Mus musculus: one gene and its partners. The protein of the gene in region 4 purifies or fractionates together with the protein of the main gene of each other region. This does not show direct contact. Links are inferred from orthologs where the notes say so. Each region holds a gene or a part of one and is shown on either strand. Other genes may lie near its edges. The genes, in order: Prpf3, Snrpa, Sart1, Sf3a2, Dnajc8, Cherp and Cdc5l.

What was found.
Region 1: the proteins of Sf3a2 (region 4) and Prpf3 purify together in Homo sapiens (affinity purification with mass spectrometry; 3 studies listed by BioGRID and IntAct, with this or other methods). This does not show direct contact. The link is inferred for Mus musculus from reciprocal best matches to the Homo sapiens genes SF3A2 and PRPF3.
Region 2: the proteins of Sf3a2 (region 4) and Snrpa fractionate together in Homo sapiens (co-fractionation; 3 studies listed by BioGRID and IntAct, with this or other methods). This does not show direct contact. The link is inferred for Mus musculus from reciprocal best matches to the Homo sapiens genes SF3A2 and SNRPA.
Region 3: the proteins of Sf3a2 (region 4) and Sart1 purify together in Homo sapiens (affinity purification with mass spectrometry; 3 studies listed by BioGRID and IntAct, with this or other methods). This does not show direct contact. The link is inferred for Mus musculus from reciprocal best matches to the Homo sapiens genes SF3A2 and SART1.
Region 5: the proteins of Sf3a2 (region 4) and Dnajc8 purify together in Homo sapiens (affinity purification with mass spectrometry; 3 studies listed by BioGRID and IntAct, with this or other methods). This does not show direct contact. The link is inferred for Mus musculus from reciprocal best matches to the Homo sapiens genes SF3A2 and DNAJC8.
Region 6: the proteins of Sf3a2 (region 4) and Cherp purify together in Homo sapiens (affinity purification with mass spectrometry; 3 studies listed by BioGRID, with this or other methods). This does not show direct contact. The link is inferred for Mus musculus from reciprocal best matches to the Homo sapiens genes SF3A2 and CHERP.
Region 7: the proteins of Sf3a2 (region 4) and Cdc5l purify together in Homo sapiens (affinity purification with mass spectrometry; 3 studies listed by BioGRID and IntAct, with this or other methods). This does not show direct contact. The link is inferred for Mus musculus from reciprocal best matches to the Homo sapiens genes SF3A2 and CDC5L.

The regions. Positions count from the first base shown.
Region 1 is NC_000069.6:95,853,086-95,857,141, forward strand, and holds the start of Prpf3 (U4/U6 small nuclear ribonucleoprotein Prp3), read right to left. Parts: upstream 2,801-4,056; 5' UTR 2,664-2,800; exon of another isoform or gene 2,235-2,663; intron 553-2,234; 5' UTR 504-552; coding exon 359-503; intron 1-358. UniProt on the Homo sapiens protein: Plays a role in pre-mRNA splicing as component of the U4/U6-U5 tri-snRNP complex that is involved in spliceosome assembly, and as component of the precatalytic spliceosome (spliceosome B complex).
Region 2 is NC_000073.6:27,186,506-27,189,888, forward strand, and holds the end of Snrpa (U1 small nuclear ribonucleoprotein A), read right to left. Parts: intron 3,028-3,383; coding exon 2,854-3,027; intron 2,450-2,853; coding exon 2,361-2,449; intron 860-2,360; coding exon 700-859; 3' UTR 501-699; downstream 1-500. UniProt on the Homo sapiens protein: Component of the spliceosomal U1 snRNP, which is essential for recognition of the pre-mRNA 5' splice-site and the subsequent assembly of the spliceosome. U1 snRNP is the first snRNP to interact with pre-mRNA.
Region 3 is NC_000085.6:5,385,904-5,390,203, forward strand, and holds the start of Sart1 (U4/U6.U5 tri-snRNP-associated protein 1), read right to left. Parts: upstream 2,801-4,300; 5' UTR 2,725-2,800; coding exon 2,412-2,724; intron 1-2,411. Other genes in the region: Tsga10ip (testis-specific protein 10-interacting protein), read right to left, coding at 4,159-4,294. UniProt on the Homo sapiens protein: Plays a role in mRNA splicing as a component of the U4/U6-U5 tri-snRNP, one of the building blocks of the spliceosome. May also bind to DNA.
Region 4 is NC_000076.6:80,801,735-80,805,422, reverse strand, and holds the end of Sf3a2 (splicing factor 3A subunit 2), read right to left. Parts: intron 3,026-3,688; coding exon 2,979-3,025; intron 2,632-2,978; coding exon 2,522-2,631; intron 1,964-2,521; coding exon 1,914-1,963; intron 1,841-1,913; coding exon 1,700-1,840; intron 1,604-1,699; coding exon 1,535-1,603; intron 1,452-1,534; coding exon 609-1,451; 3' UTR 501-608; downstream 1-500. Other genes in the region: Amh (muellerian-inhibiting factor precursor), read right to left, coding at 1-175. UniProt on the Homo sapiens protein: Component of the 17S U2 SnRNP complex of the spliceosome, a large ribonucleoprotein complex that removes introns from transcribed pre-mRNAs.
Region 5 is NC_000070.6:132,534,111-132,538,358, forward strand, and holds the start of Dnajc8 (dnaJ homolog subfamily C member 8), read left to right. Parts: upstream 1-1,448; 5' UTR 1,449-1,475; coding exon 1,476-1,553; intron 1,554-4,076; coding exon 4,077-4,178; intron 4,179-4,248. UniProt on the Homo sapiens protein: Suppresses polyglutamine (polyQ) aggregation of ATXN3 in neuronal cells.
Region 6 is NC_000074.6:72,468,734-72,472,233, forward strand, and holds part of Cherp (calcium homeostasis endoplasmic reticulum protein), read right to left. Parts: intron 2,323-3,500; coding exon 2,138-2,322; intron 1,495-2,137; coding exon 1,357-1,494; exon of another isoform or gene 1,283-1,356; coding exon 1,131-1,282; intron 1-1,130. UniProt on the Homo sapiens protein: Involved in calcium homeostasis, growth and proliferation.
Region 7 is NC_000083.6:45,430,908-45,435,093, forward strand, and holds the start of Cdc5l (cell division cycle 5-like protein), read right to left. Parts: upstream 2,801-4,186; 5' UTR 2,529-2,800; coding exon 2,484-2,528; intron 1-2,483.

The DNA of each region.
Region 1 (4,056 bases), on a different chromosome or scaffold from region 4:
CAGCTGGAGAGCTGCTGATGTAGAGGAAATAGACTCATAAGTCTTAGGCCATCCTCAGCTAGTGAGCTGGAAGCCAGACTGGGCTCCATGAGACCCTGTCTTTTAAATAAAAAAGGGGGAGGAGGGAGTGGTGCACACTGTTAACCCCTGCACTCAGGAGGCAGAGGATGGTGGATCTCTAAGGAGTTCCAAGTCAGACACAACTACACAGGAGACCTTGTCTCAAAACAAGCAAATAACAAAAGGAGAAGGGGGCTAGCACCACCTTTCCTTTAATGCTCCTAACAGGGACAACCTGGGGAAGTTCAAATCAGTGTTTGGAATCACTATACGTCAGAAGAGTGAGAGAGGTACACACCAGCCGCCTTCTTTTTGTCCATGCCCTTCCCCACACAGTTCAAGGCTGCAGTGACCACTGTGGGCTCTGAGAAGCCCAGCACTCTCTTCACCGTCTTCTCTATCCATGGCTTCAGCTCATCCAGCTCCCGCTTAGACAGCGCCATTTCGGAGAAAATGGAGAATGAGAGCTCCAATGGGACAAAAAAACTACACCTAAAAGAAACCAAGCAAGAGTCAGAGAAAAGGAAAACAAAACAATCAAGATAATAGCATAATAAGAGTGCTTTTCCCCATTCCTATTTTCAACCCCAAGCACATCTCTCCACTTCATATGAAGGGAAATACATTCCCTAAAACCAAGCTTCAAAACAGAAGGAAGGGGTCCATTAGTTTTTGTTTTTGTTTTTTTTTTTTTTTGAGATACGGTCTTACAATGTAGCTCATACAGAACTCAACACTTGGCAACTCTCCTGTCTCCACTTGCCCAGTGAGAAATTCTAGGAGCATACAACCATGCCCCACTCATTTGATATTTTAATTCTAACTCAGCATCAGTCATCATTGCTATCTAAAGAATGAACAAACTAGGAATAACGTAATCTGAGGAATGGGTTCTAACTCTGACCCTGTCACACAAAAGACTGGCAAACAGAACATCTGAAGAGTCAATCTAGAAGTCAACTTCTGCTCTGGAAGCCATTCTCTAACCTAACTTTGACCTAAAACTTGTCTAACGGATTCAAAGAAGAGGGTTTATTCAAGTCAGTCCTCCTGTGTTAAATCTCATAATCCTTAAGAATGCTGTCACCTTTCTCTGTAGTTTTATTCATGCTGGTAAGTATTCTATACACCAACATGATTTTTTTATTACTTAACACAGTTGGAGAAAAATTTCAACACTATTCATGCTTACATTTGGGTAATCTTAAATCTCAACATCTTCACCAGCATAAAGATAACTTAATTTCTGATTTTCTTCCTAATGGCTGCATGTCAATCTATTGACTGCACCGACCTCAACTTCCCATAAGACCTCCTCTTAGCACTGCCATGCATCTTAGTATGATCTGGGAATTACTCTTTCAAGATGTTTAAAGACATCTAAAAAATGCAACCTCAGAATGATCATACAAGCCTGTGATCCCAGCACAAGGGGAATCAGGAGTTCAAGTCCAGCCTTGGCTACAGAGTTCAACATCACCGGTGGCTACATGAGACCTTGTCATAAAAAAAAAAAAAAAAAAAAAAAGATGCAGTCTAATTAGCTCCTACATTCTTGACAGATTTCTCTCTCATAAGATCTGTCAATACACAGTATTTAATACATCTGAATGAATCTGGAAGGCTGTTTCTCAGTGACAACTTTTATGAATAATCCTGGGATAGCTTTTTTGGGCCATCATGAGATAGCAGTATACTGCCTATCAAAAAGAAAGCAACCACAGGCACTAAAAGTGGAGAAGAAAGCCCATTTAAGATAGAATATAGTAAGCACCACCATTCATAAGCCCTTAGGAAAGCAAGTTAATTCCCGAGAGCCTCAGTATACTTATCTTAGAAAATGAGACATCTGGTATAACACTCCATTCAATAAATACTTAAGTTACTATTTCTTGTCAAGCAGAATACTTACTGCATGTAAGGACACACACAGCAGTGAACAAAACAGCCAAGAATCCTCATGTTAATGGGACTTACAACCCACTACAATTGAATAATAGGCTAGAAAGTTTAAGCAATTTTCAAAATCCAGAGTAATAGGTGAAGCATATTAAGCATATTGGATGTAAGCTCAAGAAATATACTAACAAATGGATGTCTTCAAATTCGACCCGAATGTGCAAACGAAACAGTCAATGGATAAGAAAGTTTCAGTCAGTAGAGTTGTCACTAACCAGATGTTCAACTCTAATAGCGAGGGGGCGTCAGCGTCGGTGGGGGGCTGGGGGGTGGAGGGGAAGGGGAAGGGGAAGGGGAGGGAGGCAGAACGCTGTCTTCTGAATGAGCAGGTAGCAGAATCTCATCTTCCGAAGGGATTCCTTACTTTTCTACGCTACAAGCCCCTGGAACCCCATGCTCCGGTCTTTGCTATCTTCCCACCTGGCCCCGGCCCCACCGAGTCCGCGCTAACTCCTCACCTCAGGGCAGGTTTGCCCACCCTGCTGCTTCCCGCCCCCGCCCTTTGCCTTCAGCCAGCCCATTCTGACTTCTTCCCCGGACAGAACCAGGGAGTCCTCCCAGCCTGCTTCCCGCCGAGCACTCCCGCCCTGTCCAGCCGCTCGCACCGAAGGCTACAGCCTTTCGGGCGCGGGGCCACTACTCACCTCACAAACTTCAGCCCCTGAGACGGAGCCCGAACGTTACACCGGAACCGGAAACCTTCCGGTTGCCCTACGGCCCGCCGTCGCTACCGCCACACACCGCCACGCTGCGGTCCCTACGGCACGTGACTACGGAAGGCGGGGCCTCAGCTGCGCAGCCGCGGTATCAAGGTGCCGGCCGCGGGGCGCACGCGCCGCGGGATCCTAAAGCCTAGTCCGCGGGTTGTCCCGGAGCGATGCCAACGTTAGTTCGGGCATTATTTCCCGGAGCAGAAATCGGTTGGCATCACATTCCCTCGGGTCCAAAGAGTTAGTGCGCTAAGATTATCACTTAGAACTAAAAGCAAGGACGTCCACATTCGTACTCAAAGTGTCCTTTCTAGTTTAAAAAAAAAAAAATTGTGATCTCTAGCATTAGCTGCCCTCCCTTAACTTTGCCTCCCTAATTTAAAATCGATACCAGAGACCAGGCAACAAAAAAGAACAGATTCAGAGCTATCCCCTGGCTTCCCATTCGCCAATGAAACACCAAAACCTGCCTCACTTCCTAACCTCTAGGGATAACAGTATTCCAATTGCTAGCTCAGCCTCAGAAACCAGACTACTTTCTCGCTTGTCGCTTTCTGCCTTGCATGGCTCTTTACTAAGAAAACTACAAGATTTGCACTCCACTCTACTTCGGGTTTGTGCTCAAATTAGCCTTAGAGAAGCCTTTCTGGCCGCCCTATTTAATTTTGATACTTGACGCTCTAGAGTCCCACTTTTTTTTTCTTTTTTCTTTTTTTTTTCCTTATTGTACTTGTAGTATCATCTACCGTATTCATAAAAGTTAACTTAGGCTTTGTACTAGTCAGGGTTCTCTAGAGTCATAGAACTTATGGGTAGTCTCTGTATAGTAAGGGGATTTGTTGATGACTTACAGTCTGTAGTCCAAGTCCCAACAATGGGCAGCAGCAGCTATGAAAGGAAGTTCAAGGATCTAGCAGTTGCTCAGTCCCACAAGACAAGCAGGTGGAGAAGAGAGAGAGAATCTTCCTTCTTCCAATGTCCTTATGTAGGTCTCCAGCAGAAGGTGTGGCCCAGATGAAAGGTGTGTGCCACCAAGCCTTCAACTCAAAGATCCCCCAGTCTTAATTTTCTGGAATTTATAGCCACTATGCCTCAAGATCTCCGTGCCAAGATCCAGGTCAGAAATTGTATATCTCAGCCTCCAGATTAGGATCACAGGTGAGCCTTCCAATTCTGAATTGTAGTTCATTCCAAATATAGTCAAGTAGATAACCAGGAATAGCCACCACACGCTTAGTGCTTATACTTACAGTAACACTCATACAATTAAGTACTTAATAAATACTTGTCTACCATGGCAAGTTCCCCACTACACATCCCCCAAATA
Region 2 (3,383 bases), on a different chromosome or scaffold from region 4:
AATAGAGGATCCCTTTTCACACAGGAAGAAAATAAAGCTCACTTTGGGGACACTAACTGCCCATTGGGTGACAGATATAGACATCCCAAATTACAAACCAGAAGGGGCTGACTACAGCATCCATGTGACACAGCCACCGGGCCAATGTGGAGAGGTTTCCTCTCCCCTAGCTGCAACAACATGAGAGTCCCTTAATGATGCAAGCAACAGCTTTGTCCTCCTCACTCAAATGCCTTGGGGACAAAGTCTTCCCTGCGCCACTCCTCTTTACTGCAGAGTGCAAAAGCAGGATCAGGAGCAGCCTCGCCATGTGCTCTTGAAGGAGTATCCCCCTGCGCGGGTTGTCCATGGTGGTCTTGTTCCTGCACTCAGTGATCCTCATTAATACTATTACACTCCCAAGTGTTTTCTCAGACTGGGAACCCACAGACGCCACTAGATCCAGACTTTTGATGTGGAGGGAACCAAGGCAGGCAGGAAAATAAAGCAGACAACACTGGTAAAAAACCAAACCTCAAAAACTCACTTTAATCACAATCTAACAGCGCCAGGTGCAATGTCTGGGGACAGACTCTGGGTACAATGCTGTGTGGCAACCACACACACACGGCTCTGAGAAGGTCCCTAAGGGGGACTTACCTTCAGGGACTGAGCCAAGGGAGGGGGGGAAGGGACTGGGGTACTCCATAGGGAAAGGCGCTACTTCTTGGCAAAAGAGATCTTCATAGCATTGTTTTGTGTGATCTTAAAGCCTTGCAGGGCATCTCGTGCTGCCCCAGCCTGCACTTCATTGTCAAACTCCACGAAGGCGATGTCATGGCGCCCAGGGACCAGACGCACCTCCTTGAAGCCAGGGAACCTGGGAGGAGGGAATAGCAGACCTCAGATACCCACCTCAGCTTTCCCCTAATATTTTGGCACCAAAGTAACAGAGGCCAAAGAGGCTAAGCGTCCCATAATGTAGAACACAGACCCCACACATAAAGATTATCTGGACAAAATACATGGAGAACCCCTACCGTAAACAGCATTAAATGAAAAATCTCAACAATCACAATGTGGCCTCAAACAGCGCTGGCGCCCCTTCCTTCCCCCAAAGTCCAATCCAGTCCCACAAAATGTCACCAATCCCTACTCTGTCTCTGGTGTTTGCTTTGTTGGACTGGATCCCTAGCTCAGGCTGGACCTTAGGTCCTCAGCCTAAGCCCTGGGATTACAAGATGCCATGGTGACTGTTGGAATTCCCTCATTTCCTCCAGGTCAATGGATGTCTTTTCCCACAAGCAGTCTCAGAAACATGCACTATTTTATGGAGATGGCATACAAGCTGTACTGCTTCCAGTTTTATTTGGTTTCTCAAATTTTCCTTCAGCATAATTCTAAAGAATCATCCAAGGCAGGTATGGAAGGTTAGACTTCCACGGAAGGCAGAGGCAGATCACCAGCTCCTGGCTAGCCAGAGTAACATATGAAGACTGTGTATTTTTGCTCAATAAACCATCTGTTTCCATCATAAACAAGAAGGGAGGGGCTGGAGAGAGGGCTCAGCAGGTAAAATCAAGAATTGATCTTGCAGGACCCAAGTTTGGTTCCCAGCACCAATGTCAGGCAGCTCAAAACTGCCTAAAATTTGAACTCAGAGATATCCAACACTTCTGGCACATACCCACACACAGATAAATGCATAATTAAAAGTAAAACGAAGAAAATCTTTAAAAAGAGAGATGGGGTAGGTCGCATGCCAATAAAACCTTCCACATTCCAGGGCTGATTATCCCTCCACACCAGACAAGGCTAAGAGCCTCACGCATGAATAGCAAGTCACACGCCCAACTAAGGGCCTCATAGAATAGAGCCTTGGCTACATAGTGGAAAAATAACCCTCAACTCAGTCCTCCTGCTTCAGCCCTCCAAATACTGAGATTGCAAGCATACATCAGCACTACCTCCCAGGCTTGACCAGACAATTCTGTAAGAGGTGTGCTTGGAAACCTGAAGACTAGGCAAACAGCCCTTCTCCACTTTGCAGTCCCTCTATTCAAGGTCTACAGGTTCCAGCTCACTGGCAGGGCAGAGTTCCTAGTGTCCCCAATGTCCTTGCCATCTTTTGAATAGGCTGGTTCATACCAGTCTAAACCTGCCCAACATTTTGCTGTTCTTTCACTTTTCCCTTGTTCTGAACCTCTCTATGTCACTGAAGCAGAAAAGGCAGCCCGGAACCCAAACTACCTGTGCATGGATGCCCACAGCACTGTCTGTCCTCACGCACCATCTTCCTTTCCTGCTTCACACCTTCAGGTGCTGGGCACCGGAACGACCCGACCCCGCCCGCCCGCCCGCCCGGCCGCCGCCCCACTTACTGGTTGAAGAGCATGGAGAGCATGAGCTCGTTGGTCTCCTCAGGCAGGTTGGTGAGGAACAGGATGTGATTGGGTGGGTTCTCGGAGAGCTGTGGGAGAGATGGGAGCCCATGATCAGGGTACCCTGAGAGGGGTGCTGGGTACGGCACTCTCATCACCACCCCGTTGAGTCTCTCTCACATGTCCCCCAACGCACACACTCTCACCAGTCTCCCAGAGACCAAAGGCCCAAGACAGCAGAGACCTTTCAGCTTTTGCCACTACTGTACTGGGCCCCAGTGTGTGCACTAACCTGGATGCACACCTTGGCTTAGTTAGCTTCAACCTGCTCTCCCAGACCAATTCACAAACCAACTCCCCTCTGACAAGGTCGGCTCACCACAGAGCTCAGCCCCAGCGCCACCCACCACCAACCTAAAAGCCCCCTGTAACTGCTCCACTTCTGCTCGCAGATCATGCTTATGAGACCATGTGGTGGGGCAGGGGCACTTACAGGCTGGGCAGGCGGCATCTGCCCAGGCATGAGCTGCTGTGGGGGCATGGCCCCAGGGGGGATCTGGCCAGGAGCGAGGCCTGGTGGCGGGATCATGCCAGGTGGCGGCATGTAGGGAGGCTGTCCTGGCATATGGTGCATGATGCGGGGTGCCTGAGGCATCGGTGGCATGCCCTGTGGAGAACAAGAACAGGAGTGATGTCACAGGGTCATGGAAAGCAAGGTCACAGTGACTACAGCATGGCCCAACTTTGTTCAGCTGTATATAAAGACACTGGAGGGAGGCTGAAGATAGTTCAGTGGTCAGACAGCATGGTTCCCAACCCCAGACAGCAGCTCCCAGCTCCCTGTGACTCCAGCTCTAGAAGATCCAGTGCCCTCTTCTGGCCTCCACAGGGACTGCGCTCATGTACACATACACAGTCACAAATTTTAAAAGCTTTTGCCATGTAGCTTGGCTGGCCTCGAACCCACAAGGCTATGCCTGCCTTGTGCTGGGACTTAAGGTGTGTAGCACCACGCATGGCCCA
Region 3 (4,300 bases), on a different chromosome or scaffold from region 4:
TGAACCAGGACCAGGAAGCAACACTGCTGGTCCAGCCGCAAGGTCAAAGACAAGGGCCCCTCACCAGCACCTGGGTAAAGGACAGGAGCTTTTCCCGAGCTCCCTGACAGCTCCTACCCAGGCCCTGGGCTGGCAGGACTGCCTCTTCCAATACCTTCCCTTCTCACCCAACAGCCCAACTTTCTGCATCCCTCACTGTGGCACTCCATATTGTACCTTCAGCCTCCACTGTCCTTTCTGCTCTTGTTATGATAAAATTCTTTTTTTTTTTTTTTTTAATTTTTATTTTTTTTAAATTTATTTATTTTTATTATATGTAAGTACACTGTAGTTGTCTTCAGACACTCCAGAAGAGGGAGTCAGATCTCATTACGGATGGTTGTGAGCCACCATGTGGTTGCTGGGATTTGAACTTCAGACCTTCGGAAGAACAGTCGGGTGCTCTTACCCACTGAGCCATCTCACCAGCCCCGATAAAATTCTATCAAGAATCAAGAGCCGGGCAGTGGGCTGGGCACGCCTTTAATCCCAGCACTTGGGAGGCAGACGCAGGTGGACTTCTGAGTTCGAACCACCATGAAGCCCTGTTCAATTACTAACCAGAGTTAAGGCTCTGCCTTCAACTGCACAGCACTGCTCACCATTTCTGGCCCTTTCTGCCCACAGCAGTGTTCCACGCCCGATGTATACACGTGCCCTTCCCCCAGCCTTGAGCAGGCTACAGTAACGACCCAGACCCAGGTGGAGTCAACTTCCCACAGGAGCAGACTGCCCACTGAGCTCACTTTGCAGCTCAGTCCAGCAGAAACAAATCTGCGGGCTCTCCCTATATAAATGCAGGGCTGACTATTGAACTTTGAGCCGTGCAGAAACGTTTGTCTTGGCTTCATCCTTCTCTCGCACCCAGTCCTTTTCATTTCCAGCCCCCCTTTCAGGGTAACCCAGCTCATCCATGGCTGCTGAACAGGTACATGTACATAAACAAGAACATAAATAAGCAGGCATGCACCCTGGACCTGCTCTACCCATCCCACAAACAGAAGAGAACTTCAACAAACACCATACAGAGGAAGATGCATCAAATTTAGCTCCCCCAACCAGGCCCTACCAGGAGGGCATCTTCTCAAAAATCTCTGCCGTATTCAACCACTGCAGTCACTCTCTTCTTTAACCCAACAGTCCCTTTCTCTGCCTTGGCACCACTCCACTTTCTGTGGGAACTGTCAAGTCCCAAGTCTCCCTTTTTCCAACTAGCAGATTACTTTCAAGAAAATTTCTGATCTGGAGACTGGAGAGATGTCTCAGGGGATAAGAGCACTTGCTGTTCTTACAGAGGACCCAAATTTGGTTCTCAGAATCCATATGGCAACTCACAGCCATCTAATTCAGTTCCAGGGGATCCGATGCCTTCTTCTGACCTCTGCTGGCACGGGCACATGAGGGTAAAATACTCAAATGCATTAACATAAAAACAATCCTTTGTTTAAAAGATTAATGTCCTGTGGTGGATCACACTTCAGCAATGCTCTCTTTGCATAGATCCTATGGGCAGACTGTGGGTTCCTGCCACTGGCTACTATTTATGCTCCTCAACATGTTCCTCTGCCCACAACTGAACTACTGGAATTTAGCAGGTTCTATGCCTGACTCTCGTTCTCATTCCACATGTTCTAAGGCACTTCTTTGGTTTCCTGAATACACACCAGCCCAAAGTCACTCTATCTCACTTAAACTGTAAGGTTTCCCATATACACCAAACATAAAGTTCTCCCAAAACTGTGTCATTCTCCCCTGCCTCAAATCTGCTTCTCTTCTAAACTCAGTTCCAACAGATGACACCTCCATTCACCAGGCCAATCAGACCGAATTCCTATTCAATCTGTCCACTTCTCTCCGGCCCGCTGCATAGAGAAACATGCATACTATTAGCCCTCACCTGGTTGCTTGGACCTCCCTCCCGATCTCTTGATCTCTGGTCCTACGTTTGACAAGCTCTCAACCCACTGATCTTCATAAAATATCATGCAATTCAAGTCACTTGCTTACTCAAATCCTTGGCTCCCTACCATCCTCATAACAAAGCCCAAACTTCTCAACAGGGCTTACAGCGCTGGTTCAGACCCAAGCCTATCTTACTGCTTCATGTCTCCGCTATGAGCTATTGGTCGATTGTCTGTACACGCTCGTCCCACCTCATTCACCCACCCAATGCATTGCTGTGAAGTGCCAGGAAGACAGGGAAGGCAGGAAGACTCCTGTCTTCTTAAAGCTTAACGTGGAGACGTCAACGTTTAACCCCAAACACCCGGAGGACGTCTTTAACCCGAGAGGCAGATGGCCCTCGAGGTCCTCCCGTACCCTCCGTCCTGGGCATCCCAAGACCCTGCCCCGCCCCCGGGCCCCGCCCTCACCGGCCTCGTAGCCGTCATCGCGTTTCTCCCGCTTCACGCGCCGCTCCGAGGGCTCCGCTTGGCTTCGTTCGCGACCGTGCGCGCCGCTGCGGGCCTCGGCTTCCGCCCCACGCCGCCCGCTCCCGCGCTCACTCCCACGCTCCCGGCTCCGCTTCCGTCGTTCGCCGCCGCTGCTGCCGCCGCCGCTGCTCCGGTGCTTGTGTTTCTTATGCTCGCGATGCCGTGGCGGCTGCTCGGTCGTGCCCCCAGTCCCGGCCGCAGCCGTCGTCCCGGCCGCCTCCTTCTCGCCACGGTGCTTCTTTGACGACCCCATGATTATTGCGTCCGCCTGGAGCCGGGCCGCTACCCTAGCCCAGACGACGCGAAATGGGAACGCTTCCGGGTCGCGCGACCGCCCCGTTCCTGTTGCCGGAAACTAAGAGGGGCTGTTTCCGGGGCCTGCCTGGGAACCTCCAAAGGCTCACGGGAGGGACTGATTGAGGGTGCGCGGTCCCGCCTGCCAGCTACTGGTCTCTGCGCACGCGCACCTGTAGAGACTGCGCCGTCCACCCTCTCGCGCCATCTAAGATGGTAGTCGTAGAGCCGTAAGAACTTTAGCATGGTACTGGGTCATCATCTCCGGAGCTAGAAGTTTCCCCTGCCTCCTTCCCCTTCCACTCTGATCGCTTCGTGGTGCTCTGTGCCTCAAGTCTCTCTGTGGGCAGCCCCCTCTCCAGTGACTGTCCAAGCAAGCTCCCTAGTGCCGGGGCTCCATCCAGAGTTGGAAAATACTCTTTCTTTTAGCGAACGCTACCGTCATCCTATGTCCCCTAGACTGATGGATTGGACCGTTTTATTATTATTTTTTAGACAGGGGTTTTCTCTGTCCTGGAACTCACTCTGTAGACCAGGCTGGCCTCGAACTCAGAAATCCGCCTGCCTCTGCCTCCCAGGTGCTGGGATTAAAGGCGTGCGCCACCACCGCCCAGCTGGATTGGACCTTTTTAACTAGGCTTTGGAGTGCTCTTTGAATTTGTGCCTATAAACCTGGTGATACTGAGTGATGGTTTGTTTCTAGTTTTCTTTTTTTGTAAAGGTAGGTCTAGTACTTGTTACTTACCCCTGGCTGTCTTCAAACCCACCACAGTCCCTCTGTCAGCCTCTCGTGTGCATGGCCACTCCAGGCTTGAGTGCAAATTCGGCACATTTGTGCATGTATATGCTTTCCCTCCTTTTTTTGTTTTTCCCGTTCTGTCTAGCCTGTTAACTATGTAGCCCAGGCTGGGATTACATGCTTTTCTCGACTTTTCCTGGGTTTCTGTTTGTTTGATTGTTTGTTTAGTTTGGTTGCTTTGTTTTGGGTTGAGTAAAGGGTTAAGGGTTTAAGTTAAGGGTTCACACACTCCCATCTGATAGTCGTTGCTCCTCTCTGGACTTCCGGTGTAGCACCTCGCTGGTGTGGTTTGGTGTGGGGGATGGGCACCTTTGAAGGTCCACCCCGAGACTGAGCGCCTTCAGAGGCAGGGTCCTGTTCACTAAGATTTCTAGGTCCCCTGGCATGTTGGGGAAAGCATGGCAAAGTCTCAGCGGATTCCTTTCCGGTGCCCCACGCCTCAGTAGAGAGACGGCTTGTTGAGAATGAGGTGTAGCCTGGGTTTCCAGGGCGTGGGGGAAACAGCTCAACCTCTGCCACCCACTTCCGCTACCTATCTCCGACCCACAGCCAACTCCCCTCAGAAGTCTCACACTGTACTTGGCCATAAAGCGTTTAATTTTTCTCTCGGGGACTGTAGTCTGGGTCCAGGGTTGGGGAGGGGCGTCTTCCAGGCTGGCTGCTGGTTGGCTCTGTTTTGGGGGGGCTCTGAGAAGAGGGCTCCATTTCTGCTCTAAGTGATCGGTTGCTCCTTAAA
Region 4 (3,688 bases):
CTCTCACTGTCACCAGGCACAAAGGTTCAGGGGGGCTGCTGGGGGGCCAGAGCTCATCTTCAAGGAAGATGAGGCCCCTGGTATTGGTGGCCAGGTTTTCAACCGCCTCAGGCTGTAACACAGCCCCCATAGTCGCTAGCAGCAGTACCAGTGGAGAGAGGTGTGGCCCCTGCATGGTGGTACAGCAAGGTCCGGGTGGCCCTGCTTATATGTATGGCTGAGCCAGATTGCTTGCTTGGGAGGGACGCCCCTATCAACACCAAAGGTGACCTTGGGGGACAGTGCCTGGCACTTTTCATGCCCAGCAGGTGGGAGGCGACTGTCTCAAAGGGCTTTCTGTCCTCAGAGCTGGGCCCATAACTGCAGAGGCCTGAGCTGTCCTTGAGTAGCTCCCATCTCCCTGGGGAGCCCACCTGGAGGACGCCCCAGGTCACCACAGCTTCAACAGAGACAAGCAGTATCCACCCTCCCCACTACCAAACACACAGCAGACAGGGAGACACGGGGGAGGCTGTTTAATAGGCTCAAGGCAGGACAAATAGAAAACCTTCCAAGGACTGGCAATGGGAAAAGACCACACAGACAACAGAGGCTGGTGGGGGGACTGCTCAGTTGCCTGGGGGAGGGGGAGGCATGTTCCCAGGGCCATCTGAGGGGAGTGGGGGCCTCAGCATGGGGGGCATAGGAGCAGGGTGCACCCCAGGATTTGAGGGGTGAACCCCTGGAGGCTGAGGGTGGACCCCCGGGGCAGCAGGGTGGACTCCAGGAGGCGGCTGAGGGTGAACCCCTGGTGCCTGAGGGTGGATCCCAGGGGCTGGGGGGTGTACCCCAGGGGCTTGAGGGTGTACTGCAGGAGCAGGTGGGTGTACCCCTGGAGCCTGAGGATGAACTCCAGCTGATGGAGGAGGGTGTACCCCTGGAGCTGGTGGGTGCACCCCTGGAGCTGGTGGGTGCACCCCTGGAGCTGGTGGGTGCACCCCTGGAGTTGGGGGGTGTACCCCTGGAGCTGGTGGGTGGACACCTGGAGCTGGTGGGTGCACTCCTGGGGCTGGTGGGTGCACTCCAGGGGTGGGTGGGTGCACTCCAGGGGCTGGGGGATGGACCCCAGATGTTGGTGGATGGACCACTGGTGCTGGGGGGTGTACCCCAGGAGCTGGGGGATGGACTCCAGATGTTGGTGGGTGTACTACTGGGGCCGGGGGGTGCACCCCAGGAGCTGGTGGGGGCATCTGGGGAGGTCCAGGGGGCCCAGAGGGAGCAGGCCCAGTGGGGGGCATAGGAGGGAGAGGCAGGCCACCAGGTGGAGGTGGGGGCAAGGCATCAGGGAGTGGTGGGCGAGGAGGCAGTCCATTCATGAGTGGGGGCGGGGGCCGCTTGACGCCTGGGGGTCCTGCTGGGAGGCTGGGAGGTGCTGGGGGCTTCTCCATCTTAAAGTGGAACTGAAGAAAAAACTGTAGGAGAGAGGGTCAGTGACTGGGGCAGGGCCACTGAGGAGCGCTGAGAGAGTACCCACGCAAGGCCTGTGGAACCTCACCTGCTTGGTTTCTCTGTTCCAGTGGGTCCAAAACTTGCCCTCAGCCTTGTCAATCTCCCGGCTTGGCACCTAGGGAGAAAGTCAGAGGCTGCAGCACCCCAAGGAGGGGCTAGGATACACAGACAGCTGAATTTAGCTGCTCTCTCTGTCCTGTAGGGTCGCTACCTTGAAAGCAATGGTCTCATAGGGCTCAGCAGCCATGAGCAGGTACTGCCAGCGGCGGTCTGGAGGCTCGATCCTCTGCTCATAAGCAGACATGAAACGGTGGCGTGGCATGATACCCTCTGCGATCTCAGGGTAGTCAATCTGTAAAACATGCACAGCACTATTGGCATCACCACCCGTGTGTCTGGTCCACCCCTGACTGGTCCCACCTCACCTGGAACAGCAGGCTCTGCTGGCCCATCTCTGTGTCCCTCTGCTTGGTCACTGCAACAGAAGGGATGGGGCTGTTATGTGCTGTGTGTGCACAACAGAACAGGGTTCCTCAACACAAGGCCTGGCTTCTCTGCCTAAGGCCACTGGCTAGGACCTAAAGTGAGGGAGGGCAACCCAACCCAGCACTCTATGCAGGGGCAGCTGTTGAAGTCCAAGAAGAGTATGAGGAGGGAGGTGCTGTGTCACAGCCTCCCCAGGACGGACCCTGCCTGCCAAAGGGGACTCTTGGCAACTTGGGTCCCTGGGCTCCTGCTGGCCATGTGATTGGTCTTCTGGCTAGGCCACGTCACCCAGGGGCCTCTGCAGAGGGGCTCCAGGGGCAGTGACTGCAACAGCCAGCCTCCCCCTCCTGCTTCTGGAGATTGCCAGTAGGGATGGTACTTATCAGCACCTGGGGGCTCTTGGCAACACTAAGGGAAAGATGCTTTGAGGACAGAGAAGTCGGCTGTGTGTCCTAGGGACAAGGGTATGTCCGGTGCCAGGGCCAGGGCTCATTCATGCCGTAGCCCCCAGCCATAGGGAGGCCATCACACACACACACACACACACCTTTGTACCCAGGGCGGCCAATCTTCACAAACTTCTTCACCTCCACCTTGACCTTCTCCGGTGCAGGCTGGGCGGGGGCTTCTTTGGCCTCCTTGGCAGCTCGCCGGGCCCTGCAAACAGACACAAGTGCTTGGGCCCTCCACCAGCCACCAAGGCCAAGCACCAGGAGCCAGAGGCCCTGCCCTCAAGAGTTGAGGGAGAGGATTAGGCGGCTCTGCCCTGGGGTACACCAAGCAGGGCAGAACAGGTGAGAATCCTGGCACCACCAATGTCCTTGCCCCTTGGCCATCTGCTCTGTACTGAGACAGTAAGGCTAAACATGGGCTGGGGATGGGGGGAGGGGGTCAAGAATGTAGACGCAGGTAGCCTCTCCCCTCCCCTCCCCATTCATCCAGCCAGATTTCCCTACTGAGTAACAGTGTTGTGGTCCCGGGGAACCAGGGCTGTAGGGACTCACAAGTTAGTCTGATGTTTCTTCCCTTGGGTATGGGCCAGGTAGCTCCCCTGCAAAGAGAAAGGAGACATGCTGCTGAAGGTAGGGAGGGCAGGACGGGCACCTGGCAGAGCAACTGTACCGGCTTAGCTGAGGCCTGGGGCTCAGCCAAGCATGGGAGCCTACAGGGCATCACAGTGGCTGTGGCTGCACTTGGGAGACCTGTGACTAGCCTCTGCACCCATCCCTCCCCAGAAATTCCTCTGCAGTTTAGAGCAGCATTCACTGCAAAAGTCTGTAGTGCTGAGTCCACCAGTGGGAATAGGCAGCTGTCCGGAGGAGCTTCCAACAGAGGCCTGGAACCTAGAACACTGCTCATCACCACCCCACTGTCAACCCGGCCAGACCTGTTCCATCCATGCCTGATCAGTCTGGTCCTCCAGCAAGAGGGGTGGGAAAGGAGGGGTGGGAACTCCCAGTGTCCTTGCCCCTCCAGAAAAAGGGACAATAGCCACACCCCCTCCCTTTAGCCCCAAAATGCAGAAGTGACTCTGCTGATGGCTGGTATCCATTACTATTTGTAAGGTCATTCCCAGAGCACACAGTCAAAGCAAAAGGATAAAGGATAGCTGGTGTCCAGCCAACCTGTGCGGTTATGTTAGAGGACAGCCTGGGACACAGGCAGGAGCATCAGGAGTACACGGGGCCAGCCAGCCCTCCACAGTGAGACCCTG
Region 5 (4,248 bases), on a different chromosome or scaffold from region 4:
AATGTCACTTTCTCAGAGAAACCCTTCTTTGACCTTCCTAGTCATCCTGACAGCAATTTTTTTTTATCCTTGCTTCTGAGTTCTTTCTCACAGTTTACTTTGTGAAGCCATCAGAGCCTTAGTAGGTAGTGAATTAGTAATTTTGAACTGTATCAATGTGTCGGTGAATGGACCTAATAACTTGGTGACGGGCTACAAGGACACTGAAAAGAACATCAAGCGAACTGGTGGTACAAACCTGTAATCCCAGCACTCCTGAGGCACACAGGAAGAGCTTAATCTAGCTTAATCTAGCCTATTCGACAAAGGGAATTCTGGGCCAGCCAGGGCTTCATAACAAGATCCTGTTTTCAGAAACAAACGAATAAACACCCACACCCCCCCATACACTCCCCCCCCGCACCCCCCCCGCCCCCCACACATAGGGCTAGTGCTGGGCCCCAATGGTGAAAGGAGAGAACGGACTCTTGAAAGTTGTTCTCCCTGACCTCTCCATGTGCATTGTGACACTGTGCCCCCACTAATAAGTAAGTATAATTTTAAAAATTAAATAACAAACTCCAAGCACAGATCCTTATACATGCATGCTCATAATTGCTTCCATCCCATTTTCCGATTTTGTCCCTACCTCAATGAGATCTGTTGTAACTCGGGATGGCCTCAAACTCGCAGTGAAGAAGCCAATTTCTCATCTTTCCGTCTCCACCTCCCCAGAGTTGGGGTTACAGGCATATGTCCAGCTTCATAATACTATTTCACAGTGGTCCAAAGGTGAGAAGACCCCAAATGTTGAACTACTGAAGAGGTCAACAAATCATAGCATAGACATACCTTTGAGGAATTGGATGCCACCATAAAATGCAGTAAAAAAAAAAAAAATTTTTTTGACAGTTTTTTTTTCACAGGCCTGGCTGTCCTGAAACTTACTATAGAGACTAGGCTGGCCCCAAACTCAGAAGATCTGCCTACCTCTGCCTCTGGAGTACCAGGATAGGCTCCACTGGGATAAACTCTTAAAAAACTGGTACATGGTGGTTACCCAGGCCAGTTCCAGCACTCCAGGGAGTCATGTAGATCTCTGTGAGTTTGAGGTCAGCCTGGTCTACAGAGAGAATTCCAGGACAACCAAGGCTACACAGAGAAATCCTGGGTCAAAAAAACCAAAAAACTGTCACATGAAAAAAACCTAAATAAGAATTGTATAAGTAGATTCCATCCATGGGAAATGTCCAGAATAATAATAGGTATATCCAGAGACAACAGATTTCTTTCTGTCAGAGACTGGAGACAACCAGGGCAACACTATGAAACTTTATCCTTATTCTGAAAAACCAAAACTAAAACCGAAAAAAAAAAAAAAGAGGTCTCGGCCCCTTTAAGTTCAGCTGGCGGGCGGGGAGTCCGGGAAGGCGGGCTTGGGTGGTTACGTGAGGCTGCGCTTGCGCAGAACGGTCACGTGGTGGTTAGCCGGGAAAATGGCGGCTTCGGGAGAGAGTGGTGCTTCGGGTGGCGGAGGCAGCACAGAGGAGGCATTTATGACCTTCTACAGTGAGGTGAGCCCGGAGTAAGGATGGTGGCCTTAGGACGACCGTGCTCCGGCTTCGTCCGCCGCGGCTGGGGCCGGCGAGGCGCCTCCTGGGACCGTTGGCCCGCGCCGTCTGGCCTGGGGACTGCGGATCGGCTGCGGAGTGCATGCGCGACCGCCACTGTGGCTACTGAGGTCCCCGGAACGCGGCGGGGCGGCTGGGCCTGTGGACCCAGACCCGGAGAGGGGCCCGGCGAGCTGCTGGTCGCGCGGTGCAGCCTGCTGGCGGTGGAGTCTCCGGCTGGCGGAGGCCGAGCTGCGGCGCACCCACTTTTATTTGTAAACAGGAAGGAGGCCCTTGTCCCACTCCTCTGCCATGAATTGTGCGAGTGGCGATTTCTGCGGTCTTATCAGTGCTGAGCACTGTTCATCGGGACAAGAATGCGTATGTGAACCCTCCATCTTTAACATGACGAACCTCTTAAGAGGGTGCATACGTTCTTGGTGTCAGGTAGGACAGGAGTGAACTTGCTCTGAGCCTTGTTGACATTTGCATCGCCAGTGCCTAATGCGTGGTGGATGTTTCGCATATATCCGTTGATTAAATGAATGAATAAACTGAGTTAAAGTTAGCTATCTGGCGTCAGAGGCCCACATATTGCGTTCTCGCAAGGCAATTAGCCTAACTGCTGTTGAAATTTCAAGACATCAGTTCCCACACTGGCAAGTTAACATTGTAAGAGTTTTCACGACGATTAAAGGGTTTCGTGTATAAAAAAGCAGCTTGAAAATTATAAAGCAGTCGTTTTCGAATTAAGTACTTTCTGGTAGCCCAGGTTGGACCCTCTTGCTTCAGCCTCCAAAGTGCTGGGACCAGAGCCATTATCTCTTGTGCTTATAAGAATACTTGTAAGCCGGGCGATGGTGGTTCATGCCTTTAATTCAGCACTTGGGAGGCAGAGGCAGGCGGATTTCTGAGTTCAGGGCCAGGCTGGTCTATAGAATGAGTTCCAGGACAGCCAGGGCTACACAGAGAAACCCTGTCTCAAAAAACAAAAACAAAAAAAAAATTTTTTTTTTATGTTAGGAAATATTTTTTTCCTTCACATTGTTAGCATATTTTGCATTGCTCACAGTTGGAGAAATTTTGGTCCATCTTGGTGGAAAATGGAGGCAGGGCAGTTGACATCCTCAGGCAGGAAACAGAGAAGAAAGGCCTGTGCTTCCCGGTGCAACATTGACAATCAGCACGGACTCTGATTTAGCCCTCTTGTGTTTTTATTATATTTTTTTAAATTTAGTTTTGGCTTTTTGAGACAAGAGTTTCCCTGTACAACCCTAGCTGTCCTGGTGCTTTGTAGACCAGGCTTGCCTTGAACTCACAGAGATCACCCACCCGTGTCTGTCAAAGATGGTTGCCGCCATCACCCTGCTTGTCCTTTTGTTTTTAAGACAAGTACCCAATGAAGCTTAGGTGGCTTTACTCACTTCGCAGTGTAGGCTGCTTGGAACTAGGGCTCACTCTCCTGCTTCAGCCTCCTAAGTGCTCGTGTACAGGAATGAGCCACCACACCCAGCCGTTTTCTTTTGCCAAGGGTCAAACCCAGGATCTTGTGCATGCTAGGCAAGAACTCCACCAACTGAGCCACCTCGTAAGTCCTTCATAATGGTGTTGAATGTTGCTCATAGGTCATGGTTCAGTGTGCATTTTGCCTTTCAAAATGAAAAGAAAAAAAAAGATAGATTAATTGTACCCACATGCAGCTATATAGGTCTCTGGTGGTAGTTGTGTTTAGTATCTGGGAATCCTCTCGACCTCTGATTGTGAGTCAGACATAGGGTAAATTTCTAACAAGTTAGGTAATTGGAAACCTCACTTTCTGTAAGCCATAATTTCCCTATAATGGGATAATGGGGGCTGGAGAGATGGCACAGCGGTTAAGAGCACTGGCTGCTCTTGCAGAGGTCATGAGTTCAATTCCCAATAACTGCATGGTAGCTCACGATCATCTGTAATGAGATCTGATGCTCTCTTCCGGCATGTGGGTATTCATGCAGATAGAGCATTCATATTCATAAAACAAAATAATTAAAAAAAATGTGGAGTGGCTAATACTCCTGGAGAGAAGTGTTTACATAGTAAATGTGAATTTTACAGATTGCATGTAGCGTACATGTATACACAAATGGGCACAGAGGTCATTGTCATATGTTTTTCACTGTCCATATTATTCTTTTAGACAAGACCTGTCACTGAACCTGGAGCTCAGCAGTTTAGCCGGGCTGTGCAGGGTGTGAGCTCTGGGGGCCTCCCTGTCTCCTCCCTGCCCAGCTCTGGGTTTCCAGGCGCACGCGGCCATGCTTAGCATTTACGTGGAGATCTGAAATATCATTGTAAAATAGCTACGCCGCTGTGGTTGTTCTCCAGTTACCAAAGTGTCTTGGACATGGGAGATATAAATCGTTGTCTGCTGAGCATTTTAGCGTTGTGTTAAAGTAGATATATTTAGCTTATTCTTACTAATGGGATTACCAATTCTTTTACTTTTAGGTGAAACAAATAGAGAAGAGAGATTCAGTTCTAACATCCAAAAATCAAATTGAAAGATTGACTCGTCCTGGTTCCTCTTACTTTAATCTGAACCCATTTGAGGTGAGTAGATTGTTACTGTAGAGTTTGGTGGGAGAGCTTTGCATATGACAGTTATGTACGAGTTCGTTAT
Region 6 (3,500 bases), on a different chromosome or scaffold from region 4:
CATGTGTGTAAAGGGTGAAATTGGGCCGTTGTGGTTAGGACCTGGTCACTACTATGCACAAGCAGGTTCAACAATCTGCTCAGAAGGGATTCCCCAGCCTCATAGGGCCACTGAGAAAGCTACCGGGAGCCTAACCACCCATGAGGATTGTGGTCAACACAAGGCACAGCATTTGCCTACCAGGTGCCAAGGCCCTGGCTTCCATGCTCAGTGCCACTGAGAGGGGATAAAGGGAAAGAAGCAGCCAAAGGCAGCCCTTCCAGCTGTGCAGTATTCAGGCCTCGGGAGTAGTAGTGGCTCAGCAAGACAGCCCATATGCAGACCCAGGAAAGGTGCAGGCAGGGACTAATAGCTTCAGCTCCCACAGCTGAGGTCAAAGGGCAGCAAGAGTTGGCCAGGAGGTAGGCAAGGGAAGGCAGTGCAGGTCAGAGCTTTGTGTGAGCCGAGTGAGGAGTGTCCCAGGGAGTGGGAGAGAGGCCATCTGCGCAGAGGCCCTACCTAAGAGGCAGGAGCAAGACACCTTGAGAGGAAATAGAGTACAAAGCAGGAGGGTGTGGACACAGCCTGACAAGGAGGGGTCGCATGAAGATAGTTAGGGAGAAAGATACCAGCTTCTCCTGCTCTCATGGGAGCCATATATACTTATCAACTGTCCTAGCCTCAAGATCATGCTGAAAGCCAGAGGGCAGCCAGCCCAGCTGACTGTTGGCATGTGTCACTAGCATGGGACCTTTGCACCTGTCTCTGACCAGAGTTCTGGACTCTGTTTTCCTTCATCAACTTCACCCGCTGGCCATGCAAAGACACACCTACCAGGCCCCAGGAGGCTGGAGCCAAATACAATGCAAAGAGAAGACTGATGGAGAGAGGATCAGCAAAGGTAGCCCTAAGACATGGAAGAGCAGACAGTGCATCGGCCAGGTGTCTGGCTATGCAGACCGAAGCAGACACATGATGGCTACAGAGGCAGAGAGGAGGCAGCAGTGCCCAAGGCCTGCCTTGTGGGGTGCCAGCCACTGTCCTGGGAGTACAAGCAGTGAACCAGTGTGCAAGTGCAGCAAGGGTGGAAACTGGAGGAGTTGGGGGTCCCTGACAGGTGTGGGCTCTGGACCAAGTGGTCAAGTACTTACCAGTGGTGCAGCACGTCATTGATCAGATAGATGAGGTGTAGCCGCAGCTCGAAGTGTGCGCCATCAGCAGTGATGCGGTTGCGCAGGTGGCCTGCCATCAGCTCACAGTGTGGTGGGGACTTAGCATTGCTGAACATCCAGTTCTTCCCAGCCTGAGAGTCAGTCCAGGGTGAGTGGGTGGTCAGTCGGGCAGGCGACGACACCCCCACCCCATACTGAGCCTCACCGAGATGGCATCCTTTGTGCAGGTGTCAATGATGGGCTGTAGCAGGTTGTCAAACTCGCTCATGTCCAGTTGTGTCTCTTCCAGCAGCTTCTGCATTTGCTGTTCCACTGCATGTGCCACGGCTGTCGTTACTTGCTCCTGGGAAAACCACAAGGGACAGGTGGTATGAGCAGGGCCCTTGCACAAACACTGGTATCGTCCATCATCACAGCAGGCAAGGCAGCCTGGCCTAAGCTAACAGGAAAATGTGAAGGAGGCAGGGTGCTCATGGATCACCTAAGCAGAGCAAGGCAGGGGGTAAAGGCTAACACATGTGCCTGTGACCATTTGGGAGGCTGAGGGCAGCTTGGGGAGATGCTATCTCAAAACCAAACCAAACCAATCTAAACACAAGCAAGTAAATAGTAGGTATAGGTCACCAAGAGTAGAGGCTGGTTCTGCTGTCTAAGACCTAACTGTCCAGACTATGACTGATGGTAAACATCCATGCATGATATGTGATGGTGGTAAGCAAGGAAACCCTGAGTGGGGCTGGCACTCAGGTCTGTATGTCTTCTCTCCTTTCATTTCAGGTAGCTCATCCCTATAGAATTTGGCAACAGAACCAACCTAAAAGATGGGGCCAATAATGCCCCTCCCTACTCATTAAGAATGGTAGGTACCTAAGCCGCCATGTGTTGGCATCCACAATGGGTACAAGTCCACTGAGCGATGCCTGTGGATGACCCACAGACCTACTGGAAGGTGACTCCAGGGTCACTGACAGTACATGCAGGCATACCTGGCGCAGGGCCAGCAGGTGCTGTTCCTGCTGCTGGAGACTCCACTGGCTCTGTTGGATGAGCTCGTCCATTGATGGGGTGCCCTGGGCCGGAGTGAGGGACGCTGTGGGAGCCAGCGGAGGTTGTGGCAGAGGGGGCATGGCTGAGGTGGGCTCCAGCTCTGGGGCCTGCTGCTTGCAGATTACTAGCAGGAAAGAGATGGGCCTTGTGAGCTCAGGGGGTGCCCCAGGTTCCTTTTGGTGATCCATCAGGTTGCCCTCCAGAGAGAGGACCTGATGGATCCACTGTCCACCGCACACGGCCATCCTGCCCAAGCTTCCCTGTTGTGCTTGATCTCACTGTCCCAAGACAGGCTGACCCTTCCATCTTCCCTTCTCATGCAGGCCTGACCAAGCTACTATGCACTGCAAGCTATGACCAGGGCTGGAGATGTGGCACCTCTCCCAAGGTGTGTCTGTCCCAAGCCACTGGATCCTAATCTCCCCTTCACTCAAGACAGCCAGCATTCTGGAGGTCTGGCCAGTACACATAGGGCTGGAGTGCCCCCAAGACCAGCCCCACCTCTTGTGGCTTGTGGTGACCGTCCCAATCTGCAGCCTTTGGACTAGCTTGAATCACCAGCAACACCCTGGTATGACTGTATATGAGGCTGGCATGTACCCAGATAAGGTCTCTGGAGAGGAAGGCCCCTACTCACAGGTACGACTTTAACAATATGGCCTCCTTACTCTCTACTTTTAGGCCCTGCCTGCCTCAACTGAACATAGCCACACTCTTAGGAGCCTAAGACTCATCAAAACAAATGACTTTGGATAAAAGCAAAGAAAGACAGTGTCACCTAGGCTTTAATGGCACCCTACATGTCTGCCTGGTTCATACTGGTTCATAAGCTCCAGATCCCATATTCCTTTTGGAAGCTCCACTTTGGAGGTGTCACCATGGGCCATTGGGCTTTCACAGACTTAGGCCTCTCAAAGTCCCTGCACTGCCTCCCAGTCGAGTATAGCAAGCCACTCAGATGAGCGGTATACATACCCTCACACTAGTCAACAGCATGCCAACTACATGCACTCTTCCACATCACTGCTATCGATCTGCCTTTGCGTGTATCACACCTAATAGGAAACTGTGTTCTACACCAGAACAGGCCTCTACCACAGCAGTCAGAGTGGCTTGTGAGCAGCCTTGAGTGTCAATTGCTATGGAACAAGCAACACCCTACAGCTCACATTTTTATTGTACTTTACAAAAACAAGACCATGATAGGAGTAGAATTTTTTTTTTTTTTAAACTAGAAAAGTTTTCTTTGTGTAGACTGTCTTAGAAACTCTCTGTAGCTGGGCAGTGGTGGTGCATGCCTTT
Region 7 (4,186 bases), on a different chromosome or scaffold from region 4:
GGAGGGTATAGGGAACTTTTGGGATAGCATTTGAAATGTAAATAAAGAAAATATGTAATAAAAAAAGGATTTATTTATTTATTTATTTATTTTACGTATATGAATACACTGTAGCTGTAGATGGTTGTGAGCCATCATATGGTTGCTGGGAACTGAACTCAGGACCTCTGCTCACTCAGGCCCCTACTCGCTACTGCCCAAAGATTTATTTATTATTAAACATAAGTATACTGTAGCTGTCTTCAGACACACCAGAAGAGGACATCAGATCTCATTACAGGTGGTTTTGAGCCATCATGTGGTTGGCTGAGATATTAACTCAGGACCTTCAGAAGAACAGTCAGTGCTCTTAACTGCTGGCTCACCAGCCACAGAAAAAAAAAAAAAAAAAAAAAAAACAGAAAAAAAGGACATCTTACCTGGCCCTCAACAAACTGGAGGTGGAAAAAGTCAATGTTAAAAACACTACTTTATGACAGACAAAATTATTCACTGGCATGTACCTGCCATTCTCCTCACAAAGTTCACATACATTTATATATTTTCTCAAAACAAGAACAAAAAATTTCCTGACTATCTACCTTGAAGCAGGTCTTCTATACTTCTGGAGAGAGAATCAAAGAAGAAACTTGAGACTCTGGTTCAACACAGTTCCTCTCTGGCAGGCATCCTACTCACAACAGCCCAGGATCCACAGCTCCTCTACCTCATCAGTCAGCGCCCTGTCTACCTACTCCAATCTCTAAAAACCATTTCACCAGAGTACCCAAAGTATAGCCCAATCCCCAGACATCCTGCCACGCGAGCTCACAGACCTAAGAGTCATAGATGAATGCACTTGAGCACTTTACTTTTAGGCTTTTTCTACAATGAACTTGAATTGCCTGTCTTCTACATAAAACCCTCCACTCCATCTTCTCTCCCACTGCTAACTGGTAGCATACCCACCTAGCATACTTTAAGTCCTGGATTAGATTCCCATAAGACTTTACACATGACAGTACACACCTCTTATGCCAGAACAGGAGAGGTAGAAGCAGGAGGATCAGATGTTAAGGGTCACTCTCATCTACATAGCAAGTTCAAAGTCAATCTAAGCTACATAAGACCCTATCTCAGACAGACAGACATCGACACACAGACACACACACACACTCTGCTGGGTTTTGGCCATTATAGAGGAATCCTGATGTTACTTGATTTTGTGACTCTGCTTCTTCCTCAGAAGCCAACTCTTCTAGTTTAAATTGTCTTAGTGCATGCAAGTCCCTTTTCAGTGCCTCCATTTGTAACTTTGGTAAAGTTTTTCAAAACTTCAACGCATCTTCAACCAAATACATACAACAGGTACCTATCCTACAAGATTCATTCCCAAACATCACCAAGAAACCTGCTTCATACTAGAATGCCAAAGCCTGGTCCTACTATACTGCTGTCTGATGAAGACAACAGCAACTCATTTTTTTTACTGAAAGCCTACTAATGTACCCAGCTGCGTTCACAATGTTCCAAACTGGCAACTCGTTTCAAGAGCTTAAATACAATTATTTATTTGTCTTATAAAAATGAGTAATCTGAGGCTCTCAGAAGTAACTCAGCCGGAGCCACACAAAAGTGCTTGTGAAAACAAAGCTGTAGTAAATGAAAAATAGGTGCCACCAAACCACTAAACAACTAACTCTCAACGGGACGACCAACGAATGGGCCAGGAGGACTCTAAGAAGTGTTCTCAGCTAAGTTTGGAGCATGTTCAGAAAGATGCCAAAGCAATAAGGAGCTATCTCAAGAACGCACAAGACAGACGGAAAGGTGCTCATACATTCGGCGCACTCGATTAAATGCACGTTAACTTAATTTCTATTTTACTTCCTTCCTTCTGCTGTTCCGCTCACCGTGACATAATCTACAACATTTCTGGACGCAAACACCACCGTAGGTAAGTTTGTCCTAACTGGCTTCTATCCCGGCAAGGGTGGCGTGACTGGAAAGGTAAGAGAAAGGACCCAGGTCCTAAGATAAGCAGAGAGGTGCAGACGTAAACGGGCAGCCTGTCCGGCTGTAAAGAAGTCACGGAAAAAACAAAGTTGCAGCCACAACGGCTTCTAACAGAGCGAAGCGCTGTGCACGAGCTGAGATCGAAAGGAGCTGGAGAAACACCAGGCTCCGGGGGAGGTCCGGTCGGCGGCCACCGGGCTGCAGAAGACACCGAGGGGGCGCGTCCCTAACTGATCAAATAAGTGATCAAGGGCCTAGCAAATGCCAAGCGAGGAGCGCCGGGCGACAAGTCGCGACCTCGCCCCCGGGGTGAGCCAGGTGACCCGAGCCCGCACCCATGCACCGCGAGGGTCCCCGGGGTCCGCGCAGTCGCCGCCCCGCACCGCAGACCCCCGCGGGACAGCCACGGCTCCCGGAGCTTCCCCGCGCGTGCGCACACGCTACCAGAGCCGGCGGAGGGCTGCGGACGGCGGGAAAAGCTGCCTCACCTCCGTGTTCCTCCACACTCCCCCTTTGATCATAATCCGGGGCATCTTAGCGGCAGAGTGTCCCGGCAAGGGAGCCGAGGAGAGCTTCGAGAAAGTAGTAACGGCGCTCCGGGCACGGGACGCAAAAGGCCACTTCCTCCCAAGAGCGACCTTCTGCTTTGAAGAGCTCTGCGCAGGCGCGGCGTGGGCAGCCCCGGGAAATCTCGCGAGATCTTAGCGGCCGAAGGCAAAAGACGCGGGCGGCCAGGCTGCAACCTTAAGACTGATGGAGACTAATCAAACCGCAGGTGCCAAGGCGCCCGACGTGTCGCGCGCAGGTCCGAGACTAGGGTGAAGGAAAACAAAACTCTCGCGAGATGCCAGAGTTGGAACTTGACCGGGAACGCAGTGAAGGGATTGGTCCTGACGTCACGCGGAGGGCAGTGCCGGGGGTGGGGAATAAATGTGAGGGGTGTGGCGTTCCTCAGCACGCTTGGTCCCCAGGGAGCGCTGTTTGTTTGTTTGTTTGCTTGTTTGTTTGTCTGTTTGTTTAACGGAGCGCTGCGCTGGGCATCCCGGCGACCGACGAGGACTTCGCTGAGTCCTCGGGGAGATGCAAACGAGTCCGTTCTCTTTCTAGGAGCTCCAACTCGCAGCGCCAAGCGCCGAGGATGCCGGACGGACTCAAGATCCTAACTCTAACCTGAGGGACTGAGCGACTGCTCGCCCCAAAGTGTTCGCTCTCCTTCCTGGAAGAGCCACAAGGGGTTCGAGGCGACGCCCTAGGGACCCTTGGGAAGCGTCACGTCAGCCGCTTTCCCTCATCCCTCGCTGTTGGGTGTCTGTGGAACAAACTCGGTGAGTTGCGGGAGTCTCGCCCCTGGAATCCGGGGTCGTCCTCTGAAGAGTGGAACAAACAACTTGTTCATCAAATCAGAGGGCGGCTGCGAGTCCACAAAGTCTCGGTGAAGTGGAAATTGTCAGACTCTCTGCCATCTCCTCTCTCTTTTCCCACGCAGATTTCTCCACTATTCCAGAGCAATTAATTACTTGGTGTCACCCCAGGTCCCTAGGGAAAGATTTTATTCCGTGCATAGCGGCTCTGGTTTGTTGTCACTGTTCATGCTTCCGTTTGCCCCTTCTAGAAGACATGACGGATTTTCCGATTCGATTTTTGTTACGATTTTTTTCCTTGAAATAGGAAATTGTATCAAAATATCACTGCTTTCAGTTGAGAGGGAGGTAGTGTAGTGTTATGAAGAACACTTGGGTTTAGTGACCTACAATCTCATTTCACTCCTGTCATCTGACAGGATGACAGGTTAACAAGCCATTTTCTGCCTCTGGTACTCTTTGCAATGCTCTCTTGTAAAGATGTGTAACCATTACCTCCTGCCAACATCACTTAGTTGTATGGTTTTTATCCCACACACCCAGGTCACACACCATTTGGTTGACCAGATCAAAGCAAATCTGAACACTCCTCTCTGGGGATCTTAACGCTAGGATCCAAAAGAGGTCAGTGTTTCTGCTAGCTGATAAGCCTCTAACCTACCAATTGTGTGGCACCTAACAATTGTATTTTGAACTACATGGTCCCTGGATCTAGAACATTCCCAAGTCGTAACTACTTCCATATCCCCCTTTTGGATTTAGTCATTGAAGTTAGCTTTCCATTATTTGTAATCGAGAGGCCTAATAAATCCACAGTTGAACCAGTCCTC